Saccharomyces cerevisiae S288C: one gene and its partners. The protein of the gene in region 1 interacts with the protein of each later gene in a pairwise test. Each region holds a gene or a part of one and is shown in the gene's direction. Other genes may lie near its edges. The genes, in order: KEX2, KEX1 and FTH1.

Region 1 (5,035 bases):
CCAGAAAGTCACCTGCTCTCTTAATCAATGGGGTTGCATGTGGTAATCAATTGATAACGCCGGCTGACAAGTCGCCGACGGGCACCCATAAATAAACGATAAATAGCCCTTGCTCTTTTGTTACATGCTTCCTACTTCTGTTTCCCGGTCCTTGTATCTCAAGACGTTTAGAAGCCACCTTTTACGAGCACCACAAATTGTTTTAAAAAGAATGTCCTCTTCCATCGATATCAGTAAGATCAACTCTTGGAACAAAGAGTTTCAATCCGACTTAACCCATCAATTGGCAACCACTGTCCTTAAGAATTATAATGCCGATGATGCACTGTTGAACAAGACTAGACTGCAAAAGCAAGATAACAGGGTTTTCAACACTGTTGTCTCTACTGATTCCACTCCAGTCACCAACCAAAAAAGCTCTGGTAGATGTTGGTTGTTTGCCGCTACCAATCAACTGCGCTTGAATGTTCTTTCTGAATTGAACTTAAAAGAATTCGAACTGTCCCAAGCTTACTTGTTCTTTTACGATAAGTTGGAAAAGGCCAACTATTTCTTGGACCAAATCGTCTCCTCGGCTGATCAAGACATCGACTCACGTCTCGTGCAATACTTGTTAGCAGCTCCAACAGAAGACGGTGGCCAATACAGCATGTTTTTGAACCTAGTCAAGAAGTATGGCCTTATCCCCAAAGATTTATACGGGGATCTACCTTATTCTACTACTGCGTCCAGAAAATGGAATTCTCTGTTGACTACTAAACTGAGAGAATTTGCCGAGACTCTAAGAACAGCTTTGAAAGAGCGTTCTGCCGATGATTCCATAATTGTCACTCTGAGAGAGCAAATGCAAAGAGAAATCTTCAGGTTGATGTCGTTGTTCATGGACATACCTCCAGTGCAACCAAACGAGCAATTCACTTGGGAATACGTTGACAAAGACAAGAAAATCCACACTATCAAATCGACTCCGTTAGAATTTGCCTCCAAATACGCAAAATTGGACCCTTCCACGCCAGTCTCATTGATCAATGATCCAAGACACCCATATGGTAAATTAATTAAGATCGATCGTTTAGGAAACGTCCTTGGCGGAGATGCCGTGATTTACTTAAATGTTGACAATGAAACACTATCTAAATTGGTTGTTAAGAGATTACAAAATAACAAAGCTGTCTTTTTTGGATCTCACACTCCAAAGTTCATGGACAAGAAAACTGGTGTCATGGATATTGAATTGTGGAACTATCCTGCCATCGGCTATAATTTACCTCAGCAAAAGGCATCGCGTATTAGATACCATGAAAGTTTGATGACTCATGCTATGTTGATCACTGGCTGCCACGTCGATGAAACGTCTAAATTACCACTTCGCTACCGCGTTGAAAATTCCTGGGGTAAAGACTCCGGTAAAGACGGATTATACGTGATGACTCAAAAGTACTTCGAGGAGTACTGCTTTCAAATTGTGGTCGATATCAATGAATTGCCAAAAGAGCTGGCTTCAAAATTCACCTCAGGTAAGGAAGAGCCGATTGTCTTGCCCATCTGGGACCCAATGGGTGCTTTGGCCAAATAAATAGTTTCAGCAGCTCTGATGTAGATACACGTATCTCGACATGTTTTATTTTTACTATACATACATAAAAGAAATAAAAAATGATAACGTGTATATTATTATTCATATAATCAATGAGGGTCATTTTCTGAAACGCAAAAAACGGTAAATGGAAAAAAAATAAAGATAGAAAAAGAAAACAAACAAAGGAAAGGTTAGCATATTAAATAACTGAGCTGATACTTCAACAGCATCGCTGAAGAGAACAGTATTGAAACCGAAACATTTTCTAAAGGCAAACAAGGTACTCCATATTTGCTGGACGTGTTCTTTCTCTCGTTTCATATGCATAATTCTGTCATAAGCCTGTTCTTTTTCCTGGCTTAAACATCCCGTTTTGTAAAAGAGAAATCTATTCCACATATTTCATTCATTCGGCTACCATACTAAGGATAAACTAATCCCGTTGTTTTTTGGCCTCGTCACATAATTATAAACTACTAACCCATTATCAGATGAAAGTGAGGAAATATATTACTTTATGCTTTTGGTGGGCCTTTTCAACATCCGCTCTTGTATCATCACAACAAATTCCATTGAAGGACCATACGTCACGACAGTATTTTGCTGTAGAAAGCAATGAAACATTATCCCGCTTGGAGGAAATGCATCCAAATTGGAAATATGAACATGATGTTCGAGGGCTACCAAACCATTATGTTTTTTCAAAAGAGTTGCTAAAATTGGGCAAAAGATCATCATTAGAAGAGTTACAGGGGGATAACAACGACCACATATTATCTGTCCATGATTTATTCCCGCGTAACGACCTATTTAAGAGACTACCGGTGCCTGCTCCACCAATGGACTCAAGCTTGTTACCGGTAAAAGAAGCTGAGGATAAACTCAGCATAAATGATCCGCTTTTTGAGAGGCAGTGGCACTTGGTCAATCCAAGTTTTCCTGGCAGTGATATAAATGTTCTTGATCTGTGGTACAATAATATTACAGGCGCAGGGGTCGTGGCTGCCATTGTTGATGATGGCCTTGACTACGAAAATGAAGACTTGAAGGATAATTTTTGCGCTGAAGGTTCTTGGGATTTCAACGACAATACCAATTTACCTAAACCAAGATTATCTGATGACTACCATGGTACGAGATGTGCAGGTGAAATAGCTGCCAAAAAAGGTAACAATTTTTGCGGTGTCGGGGTAGGTTACAACGCTAAAATCTCAGGCATAAGAATCTTATCCGGTGATATCACTACGGAAGATGAAGCTGCGTCCTTGATTTATGGTCTAGACGTAAACGATATATATTCATGCTCATGGGGTCCCGCTGATGACGGAAGACATTTACAAGGCCCTAGTGACCTGGTGAAAAAGGCTTTAGTAAAAGGTGTTACTGAGGGAAGAGATTCCAAAGGAGCGATTTACGTTTTTGCCAGTGGAAATGGTGGAACTCGTGGTGATAATTGCAATTACGACGGCTATACTAATTCCATATATTCTATTACTATTGGGGCTATTGATCACAAAGATCTACATCCTCCTTATTCCGAAGGTTGTTCCGCCGTCATGGCAGTCACGTATTCTTCAGGTTCAGGCGAATATATTCATTCGAGTGATATCAACGGCAGATGCAGTAATAGCCACGGTGGAACGTCTGCGGCTGCTCCATTAGCTGCCGGTGTTTACACTTTGTTACTAGAAGCCAACCCAAACCTAACTTGGAGAGACGTACAGTATTTATCAATCTTGTCTGCGGTAGGGTTAGAAAAGAACGCTGACGGAGATTGGAGAGATAGCGCCATGGGGAAGAAATACTCTCATCGCTATGGCTTTGGTAAAATCGATGCCCATAAGTTAATTGAAATGTCCAAGACCTGGGAGAATGTTAACGCACAAACCTGGTTTTACCTGCCAACATTGTATGTTTCCCAGTCCACAAACTCCACGGAAGAGACATTAGAATCCGTCATAACCATATCAGAAAAAAGTCTTCAAGATGCTAACTTCAAGAGAATTGAGCACGTCACGGTAACTGTAGATATTGATACAGAAATTAGGGGAACTACGACTGTCGATTTAATATCACCAGCGGGGATAATTTCAAACCTTGGCGTTGTAAGACCAAGAGATGTTTCATCAGAGGGATTCAAAGACTGGACATTCATGTCTGTAGCACATTGGGGTGAGAACGGCGTAGGTGATTGGAAAATCAAGGTTAAGACAACAGAAAATGGACACAGGATTGACTTCCACAGTTGGAGGCTGAAGCTCTTTGGGGAATCCATTGATTCATCTAAAACAGAAACTTTCGTCTTTGGAAACGATAAAGAGGAGGTTGAACCAGCTGCTACAGAAAGTACCGTATCACAATATTCTGCCAGTTCAACTTCTATTTCCATCAGCGCTACTTCTACATCTTCTATCTCAATTGGTGTGGAAACGTCGGCCATTCCCCAAACGACTACTGCGAGTACCGATCCTGATTCTGATCCAAACACTCCTAAAAAACTTTCCTCTCCTAGGCAAGCCATGCATTATTTTTTAACAATATTTTTGATTGGCGCCACATTTTTGGTGTTATACTTCATGTTTTTTATGAAATCAAGGAGAAGGATCAGAAGGTCAAGAGCGGAAACGTATGAATTCGATATCATTGATACAGACTCTGAGTACGATTCTACTTTGGACAATGGAACTTCCGGAATTACTGAGCCCGAAGAGGTTGAGGACTTCGATTTTGATTTGTCCGATGAAGACCATCTTGCAAGTTTGTCTTCATCAGAAAACGGTGATGCTGAACATACAATTGATAGTGTACTAACAAACGAAAATCCATTTAGTGACCCTATAAAGCAAAAGTTCCCAAATGACGCCAACGCAGAATCTGCTTCCAATAAATTACAAGAATTACAGCCTGATGTTCCTCCATCTTCCGGACGATCGTGATTCGATATGTACAGAAAGCTTCAAATTACAAAATAGCATTTTTTTCTTATAGATTATAATACTCTCTCATACGTATACGTATATGTGTATATGATATATAAACAAACATTAATATCCTATTCCTTCCGTTTGAAATCCCTATGATGTACTTTGCATTGTTTGCACCCGCGAATAAAATGAAAACTCCGAACCGATATATCAAGCACATAAAAGGGGAGGGTCCAATTAATGCATATTTAAGACCACAGCTGAATAACTTTAAAACGGCAGACAAAACAAAAAATAGGTCGAATAAACCTTACCTGCCTAGAAGGAATGACAGCAGCTAATAAGAATATTGTCTTCGGATTTTCCAGATCCATTAGCGCAATTCTACTAATATGCTTTTTCTTTGAAAAAGTCTGCGGTGATATGGAGCATGATATGGGCATGGATGATACTTCGGGATACACGAGGCCAGAAATTGTGCAGGCTGGGTCGAAATCTTTCCACTGGCTCTGCACTTTGGGATTCTTGTTGC
Region 2 (4,345 bases), on another chromosome or scaffold:
GATTATCCCATGGGAAATAATCTTTTAATGGCAGGCCACCACCCAAAAAGATAATGTTAGGATCTTGGAAAAGATGGATGCAGGTTTTCAATGGGGATGGTTTACGAGCATTGGTTTCATCCGAAAACAAGTAAGAAAAGTCTTTTGATTCAGGTAAAGTCATGATAGTAACGATCGGTTGTCCTATTCAATGTCTGTATCAACTGCAGGGTTTAACTTAGTGGAATGGAAAAATAAGAAAAAGAAATAAGTTCTTAAAGATATAACCAAACCAAATATATAGTCTAGAGATGTGTATAGGAGGGTCTACAAGATAAGAAAAAAGATTGCGATACACATATCTTCAAATGAAATGCGCTTAATATTAGTCATAGATTGGACCTCGAGAAAGTGAAAAAGTGCAGAGTGAAAAATGTGATAAAAAAAGGAAAAAAAGACATCTAAGGTAACCCGGATGTTCTTCATTATTCCGGCGCAATTTAGTACTGTTCTTCTATCAATGGCAATTCAGAAGCCAGATTCTTGAATGAGGTGAAGGAGAACAATGGTTATAGGTTAATTAAGAGATTTTTGGATGGTGTATATGAGCCATGTTTAATCTTGGAAAAATAGTGAACCGGGAAAAAAATAAAGAAGAACTCCTCATAGGGGGCTCGAACCCCTGACATTTCGGTATCCTTGCTTAAGCAAATGCGCTTAAAAGCCGAACGCTCTACCAACTGAGCTAACAAGGATGAGTTCTTCGGATTTCTTCGATAATAGTTTTAGTTAAATATACATTATGTTCACATAATGCTATTATTTAATGCACATGTTAATGGACGGTAAACTACTTATCATTTATTGCAACAAATGAAAAGACACCACCCTAACAGCACGAAAAATGATGTTAATGTCTTGTATAGTATTGTCGGATAACTAACTCTCGTCTCAACAAAGCTTAAATAAGAGCTGAGAGATTGGTGAATTTTAAGATGATTGTAGGCATTTCATTGTTGATCAAGGCTACAATATTATGTATACAGAATATACTAAAAGTTCTCCTCGAGGGTAGAGGAATCCTCAAAGGGGAAGCGATATTTCTACATAATATTATTACGATTATTCCTCATTCCGTTTTATATGTTTCATTATCCTATTACATTATCAATCCTTGCACTTCAGCTTCCTCTAACTTCGATGACAGTTTCTCATACCTTATGTCATCGTCTAACACCGTATATGATAATATACTGGTAGTGTGACTACTAGTTTATAGACGATAGTTGATTTTTATTCCAACAGGATCATTTTGTTAGGTGAGGAATTGCGAGCTTTTTGGCTATAACTTTCAAGTTTTGTCACCAACATTTATATTTGCTTACTGCAGCCCGGAACCGAAAAACAATGTGGAAAAAGAAAAAAAAGTGGAATATTTTGATAATATAGGAAACATTAAGAAAAGCGATTTCTTATCATTGTCTTCAACTCCCATCTATTTGAAAAAGCTTGCTGAAGCATACTTTGGTTAAAGAGTACCTTGGCTATAGAATACCGTAGAGATAAAGACCTGAATAGATGTTTTACAATAGGTGGCTCGGAACGTGGCTAGCCATGTCTGCTTTAATAAGGATCTCAGTATCCCTTCCGTCATCTGAGGAGTACAAAGTGGCATATGAGCTGTTGCCAGGGTTATCTGAAGTGCCAGACCCTTCAAATATTCCACAGATGCATGCTGGCCATATTCCTTTACGTTCCGAAGATGCGGATGAACAGGATAGCTCTGACTTGGAGTACTTTTTTTGGAAGTTTACCAATAACGACTCTAATGGCAATGTCGACCGTCCCTTAATTATATGGTTAAATGGTGGACCCGGTTGCTCTTCCATGGATGGTGCCTTGGTCGAATCCGGCCCTTTTAGGGTGAATTCAGACGGTAAACTTTATCTAAATGAAGGGTCCTGGATATCCAAAGGCGATCTTTTATTTATCGACCAACCTACTGGTACTGGGTTTTCTGTCGAACAAAATAAAGACGAAGGTAAAATCGACAAAAACAAATTTGACGAAGACCTAGAAGATGTGACCAAGCATTTTATGGATTTTCTGGAGAACTATTTCAAGATTTTTCCAGAAGACCTCACTAGGAAAATCATACTATCGGGTGAAAGTTACGCTGGCCAATACATACCATTCTTTGCCAATGCAATTTTGAACCATAACAAATTTTCAAAGATCGACGGGGATACATACGACTTGAAGGCGCTATTGATTGGTAACGGTTGGATTGACCCCAATACACAGTCCCTATCGTACCTTCCGTTTGCTATGGAGAAGAAACTGATTGATGAAAGCAACCCCAATTTCAAACACTTAACGAACGCACACGAGAATTGCCAGAATCTGATAAACTCTGCCAGTACAGATGAGGCAGCCCATTTTTCGTATCAGGAATGTGAGAATATTTTAAACCTTCTATTGTCTTATACCAGGGAATCTTCGCAAAAGGGAACAGCGGATTGCTTGAACATGTATAACTTCAATTTAAAAGATAGTTATCCATCTTGTGGTATGAATTGGCCGAAAGATATTTCCTTTGTCAGTAAATTCTTCAGCACACCTGGTGTTATTGATTCGTTGCATCTTGATTCTGATAAAATTGATCATTGGAAGGAATGCACTAATAGCGTTGGAACTAAATTGTCTAATCCTATTTCAAAGCCATCTATCCATTTATTACCTGGTCTACTTGAAAGTGGAATAGAGATTGTCTTGTTCAATGGTGACAAAGACTTGATTTGTAATAACAAGGGCGTATTAGATACTATAGACAATCTAAAATGGGGTGGAATAAAGGGATTTAGCGACGATGCTGTTTCGTTCGATTGGATCCATAAATCGAAGAGTACAGACGACAGCGAAGAATTTAGCGGATACGTGAAGTATGATAGAAATTTGACGTTTGTTAGCGTTTATAATGCTTCTCACATGGTACCCTTCGATAAAAGTTTAGTGAGTAGAGGCATTGTCGATATTTACTCGAACGATGTTATGATCATTGACAACAATGGGAAAAATGTTATGATTACTACTGACGACGATAGTGATCAAGATGCTACTACTGAAAGCGGTGATAAGCCAAAAGAAAACCTCGAAGAGGAAGAACAGGAAGCGCAGAATGAGGAAGGAAAGGAAAAAGAAGGCAATAAAGATAAAGATGGCGATGATGATAACGACAATGATGACGACGATGAAGACGATCACAACTCCGAGGGCGACGACGATGATGACGATGACGATGATGAAGACGATAATAATGAAAAACAAAGTAATCAAGGCCTCGAGGATAGTAGACATAAATCTTCAGAATATGAACAAGAAGAGGAAGAGGTAGAAGAATTTGCAGAAGAGATTTCAATGTATAAACACAAAGCGGTAGTAGTTACCATCGTTACATTTTTGATAGTGGTTTTAGGAGTTTATGCGTATGATAGAAGAGTGAGGAGAAAAGCGCGTCACACAATTTTAGTTGATCCAAATAATAGACAACATGACAGTCCCAATAAGACAGTTTCATGGGCAGATGATCTGGAAAGCGGACTCGGGGCAGAAGATGATTTAGAACAAGATGAGCAGTTAGAAGGCGGAGCACCCATAAGTAGCACTTCTAACAAAGCAGGATCTAAATTGAAAACTAAGAAAAAGAAGAAGTATACTAGCCTTCCGAACACTGAAATCGATGAATCTTTTGAGATGACTGATTTTTAACTTGGCAAATAAAAATATATAAAAAATACAGAAAAATAGTTATAATACCTCGCACACGCTTTTCGTAGTAACAGCGACATAAAGATAAATTCTTTAAAGGGTACAATCCATCAAGAACTGACTGTTTTATTTAATTCACACTACTGAACTTCATATTAAAGTGTCGTCATTTAAGTCTAGTAGGTTATATTAATCGCGCACAATAGTTTTTTTTTATGCAAACTGTATCACGAATATTTTTTCAGTTTTCGGACCATTTTTTGACATTTTTAACCAGTTTTTAACATTTTTATGGTAGCGTTCTTTTATTTTTCACGTAATTGCATTGAAATAGACATAAACGTATAAAATAATATACAAGTAATTAGAGCTTTTGAACGAGATTGTTTAGTGGTTGTTTTAACTCCTTCACAGAAGTTGAAAACTTCAACGCATTCATAGCCCCACATATCAACACAAATCCCTGGAAATGAATGGAACTGATATCCTTCGTTTTTTGCAATCTTCCCCCACCATTAGTTACAGCAAACATTTTATACTTATAACAGCATGCCCTCTGTTTGTATTAGGACTATTATTGTTAGGTCTTAGAACAGCA
Region 3 (3,631 bases), on another chromosome or scaffold:
CAACGTAACTGATGGTTAAAATTTGCATAAAGAAGGTCAGGCCTCGTCTGCGGACAACAACACTATCAATATCCAGCGTGCAATTATGTCTGTGCACCACAAAAAGAAGCTAATGCCCAAATCGGCATTGCTGATTAGAAAATACCAAAAGGGAATCAGATCATCATTCATTGGGCTCATCATAGTGTTATCCTTTTTATTTTTCATGAGTGGCTCAAGGTCCCCAGAGGTACCAATAGCTCAGGGCACCAGTGTCAGTCGTGTAGCCAGTAAGGATTATTTGATGCCGTTTACTGACAAGTCACAAGGAGTAATCCATCCCGTGGACGATGGAAAGAAGGAAAAGGGTGTTATGGTCACATTGGCCAGGAATTCAGATTTATGGAACTTGGTAAAATCTATTAGACATGTTGAAGACAGGTTCAATAACAGATATCACTACGATTGGGTGTTCTTGAATGACCAACCATTTAGTGATGAGTTTAAACGTGTTACCAGTGCATTGGTTTCAGGCAAGGCAAAATATGGGACAATCCCAAAGGACCATTGGTCCATTCCATCTTGGATCGATACTGAAAAATTCGATGAGAAAAGGCTTGCAATGGGAAAATTGGATATTCCATATGGTAGTTCCGTGCCTTACCGTCACATGTGCCGTTTCCAGTCAGGGTTCATATGGAGACACCCACTACTGGAGGAGTACGAATGGTTTTGGAGAGTGGATACCGATATCACTTTATTCTGTGATATTCAGTATGACATATTCAAGTTTTTAAAAGTAAATAACAAGAAATATGGATTCATTCTTTCGGTAAGTGAATATGAGCGCACAATCCCAACCTTGTGGGAAACGACAAAGAAATTCATCAAGAAAAATCCTAAATTCTTACACAAAAATAACCTCATGAAATTCATTTCGAATGATGATGGTGACACTTATAATATGTGTCATTTCTGGACCAACTTCGAAATCGGCTCTTTAGACTTCTTCAGGTCCGATGCATACAGAGAATACTTTGATTACTTAGACAGTTCTGGTGGATTCTTCTACGAAAGATGGGGGGATGCGCCAGTGCACTCCATCGCTGCCTCTTTGTTCTTGGACAAGTCAGAAATCCATTTCTTTGACGGTCTTGGATTCCATCATCCAGATTTCACCTCTTGTCCTATCGAACAGAAGATTAGACTACAAAACAAGTGTATCTGCGAACCTAGCAAGGACGTCACCTGGACTCCTGACTACTTCTGTACTAGAAAGTACTTTTCAGCAGGAAATTACAAGCTTCCACCAGGAATTTAAAAACCAAACTACAAATAGCGCCTGCTCCGTCAAAACAGGTGCTAAAACGTCAACATGTATCTATCTATATACACATAATTCAATGTAGTAGCCACCTCACTTTATTCTAGTGCCTTCTTGGGTTCAAAAATGGGTGCGGTGCGGCCGGAGATGAAGAGAGAAAAGCAAAATTGTATCTAAACCAGCCTACAAAAACACAAACTTGATATTATAAAGAATCAAGCATCTTACTGAACTTTTGTCCTCTACAGAAAAGCGAAAAAACTCTAAGAATAGAGAACTAGAGTGGTGTTCATATTTCTAGTCACCATGGCGTTTGAGGATTATTTTTCTTTCCAGATATTCTTCATTTTCTTAAGGGAATCCTTAGAAATTGTTGTCATTGTTTCTATCCTGTTGACGATCGTCAAACAAGGTCTGTCTGTTGAGGACGACAGCCCGTTTGAAGGAAGTTCCTCTTCTGCTGGTCTTCCAAGTCCAAATACGAACACAAACGCAGATTCGACCACTGCCTTCTTACAAGCAGGGCCTTCAGACGGTAATGCTATTGGAACGTCCGCTACGGCTGCTAATAATAAATCGAGGCCGCTAAATGTGGAGGAAGAAGAAGAAATTTACGAGTACTCTAATGAGCTTAGAGACCAGGACCGCGAGTCCGATGAACATACGGCTGACAACGTTAAGCTATATCAGAAATTAAAAATACAAATTCTAGCGGGCGGCGCATTTGGTTTGTTGCTGTGTATGTTAATCGGGGGTGCGTTTGTTAGTATCTTTTATCATATTGGAACCGACTTATGGACACTGAGTGAACATTATTATGAAGGTGTCTTAAGTCTTGTCGCGTCCGTTATTATTTCTGTCATGGGGTTGTTTTTTTTAAGAATGGGGAAGTTAAGAGAGAAGTTCAGAGTGAAATTAGCTTCTATCATTTATTCAAAGGACAATAATTTGCTGGGAAACAAAACCCAAAAAGGTGTGAAATTCAGTGAAAAGTACTCCTTCTTCATATTACCATTTATAACGACTTTGAGAGAAGGGTTAGAAGCTGTTGTATTCATTGGAGGTATCGGTATTGACCAACCACTATCCTCGATTCCCCTCTCTATGGTCCTTGCTACTGCAATCAGTACGGTGTTCGGTATTTTTTTCTTCAGGTACTCAAGTTCTCTTTCACTTAAGATATGCCTTGTAGTCGCCACCTGCTTCCTCTACTTGATCGCGGCTGGTTTGTTTTCCAAAGGTGTATGGCAACTTGAATTGCAAGACTACGTCAACAAATGTAACGGTCAAGACATGAGTGAAGTAGGAAATGGACCCGGTTCGTACGACATATCTCGTTCTGTTTGGCATGTTAATTGTTGCAATGGTGAAAAAGATGGAGGTTGGATGATTTTTACTGCCATTTTTGGTTGGACGAATAGTGCTACCGTCGGCTCTGTAATTAGCTACAACGCCTACTGGTTGGTATTAATATGCGCTTTGAAACTGCTAATGATAGAAGAAAAATACGGATATATCCCATATCTACCTATTAGCTGGCAAAAGAAACGTATTATGAAAAGATTAAGCATTGCCAAGGCATCGCTCGATCTCAAACATCATACTTCTGAACTCAACTCTAGCACATCAGAGCCAGACAGTCAAAGACGGTCCAAAGATAGTTCTGTGCCCCTAATAATTGATAGCAGTGGTTCAGCAAATTGAGAACATAACAAACACACGTAATAATTTTAAGCTTCTTTTCATACATTTTACAGTAAATACTATGTACATATATATTCGTCATTAAAAATAGCTAGAAAAAGGCATGCTATAAAGACTAAATGAGTGCTCCTTTGATTTTAGATGCCAACAAAAGGTAATTCATGCCAATGTCTCTATGACGGCCACTATGTCACCAGAATCAACCATATCACCATTGCCATGGCAAATCTTGATAATCTTACCCGATTTAGGAGCGGATATAATCATTTCCGCTTTCATGGCTTCAATAATTAGTAGCCCTTGACCTGCTTCAATAACATCTCCAACAGATGCTATGGATTTCCAAAAACGCCCAGAATACTCAGAATATACAATTTCTGCACCTTCTGGGAAGTCTTCTTCCTCGTCAGGTTTGACTGTGACACTTTCTTTTAGTTCAGAGTTTGCATTTTGAATCAATTTGGCAAATTCCTCTGCTCTTTCACCAAGCTGGCCCTCCTGGAATGCTGTGATGGAATCTTTGTTTGCGTTGATCCATCTCAAGTATTCTTGATGATCAAAAACACTCTTTTCGATATTGACTTTATAAACACCATTATCACAATCTTCAGTCATTTTATCCAA

What was found.
Region 2: the proteins of KEX2 (region 1) and KEX1 interact in binary tests that used the Saccharomyces cerevisiae proteins (3 or more experiments, as listed by UniProt).
Region 3: the proteins of KEX2 (region 1) and FTH1 interact in a protein complementation assay, tested with the Saccharomyces cerevisiae proteins (2 studies listed by BioGRID).

Annotation. Positions count from the first base shown.
Region 1 is NC_001146.8:200,358-205,392, forward strand, and holds KEX2 (kexin KEX2), read left to right. Parts: upstream 1-2,070; coding exon 2,071-4,515; downstream 4,516-5,035. Other genes in the region: LAP3 (bleomycin hydrolase), read left to right, coding at 212-1,576; YTP1 (Ytp1p), read left to right, coding at 4,831-5,035.
Region 2 is NC_001139.9:111,877-116,221, reverse strand, and holds KEX1 (serine-type carboxypeptidase), read left to right. Parts: upstream 1-1,557; coding exon 1,558-3,747; downstream 3,748-4,345. Other genes in the region: ARO8 (bifunctional 2-aminoadipate transaminase/aromatic-amino-acid:2-oxoglutarate transaminase), read right to left, coding at 1-163; YGL204C (uncharacterized protein), read left to right, coding at 4,217-4,345.
Region 3 is NC_001134.8:633,537-637,167, forward strand, and holds FTH1 (Fth1p), read left to right. Parts: upstream 1-1,609; coding exon 1,610-3,007; downstream 3,008-3,631. Other genes in the region: mannosyltransferase KTR3, read left to right, coding at 86-1,300; DUR12 (bifunctional urea carboxylase/allophanate hydrolase), read right to left, coding at 3,167-3,631. UniProt on the Saccharomyces cerevisiae protein: High affinity iron transporter probably involved in transport of intravacuolar stores of iron.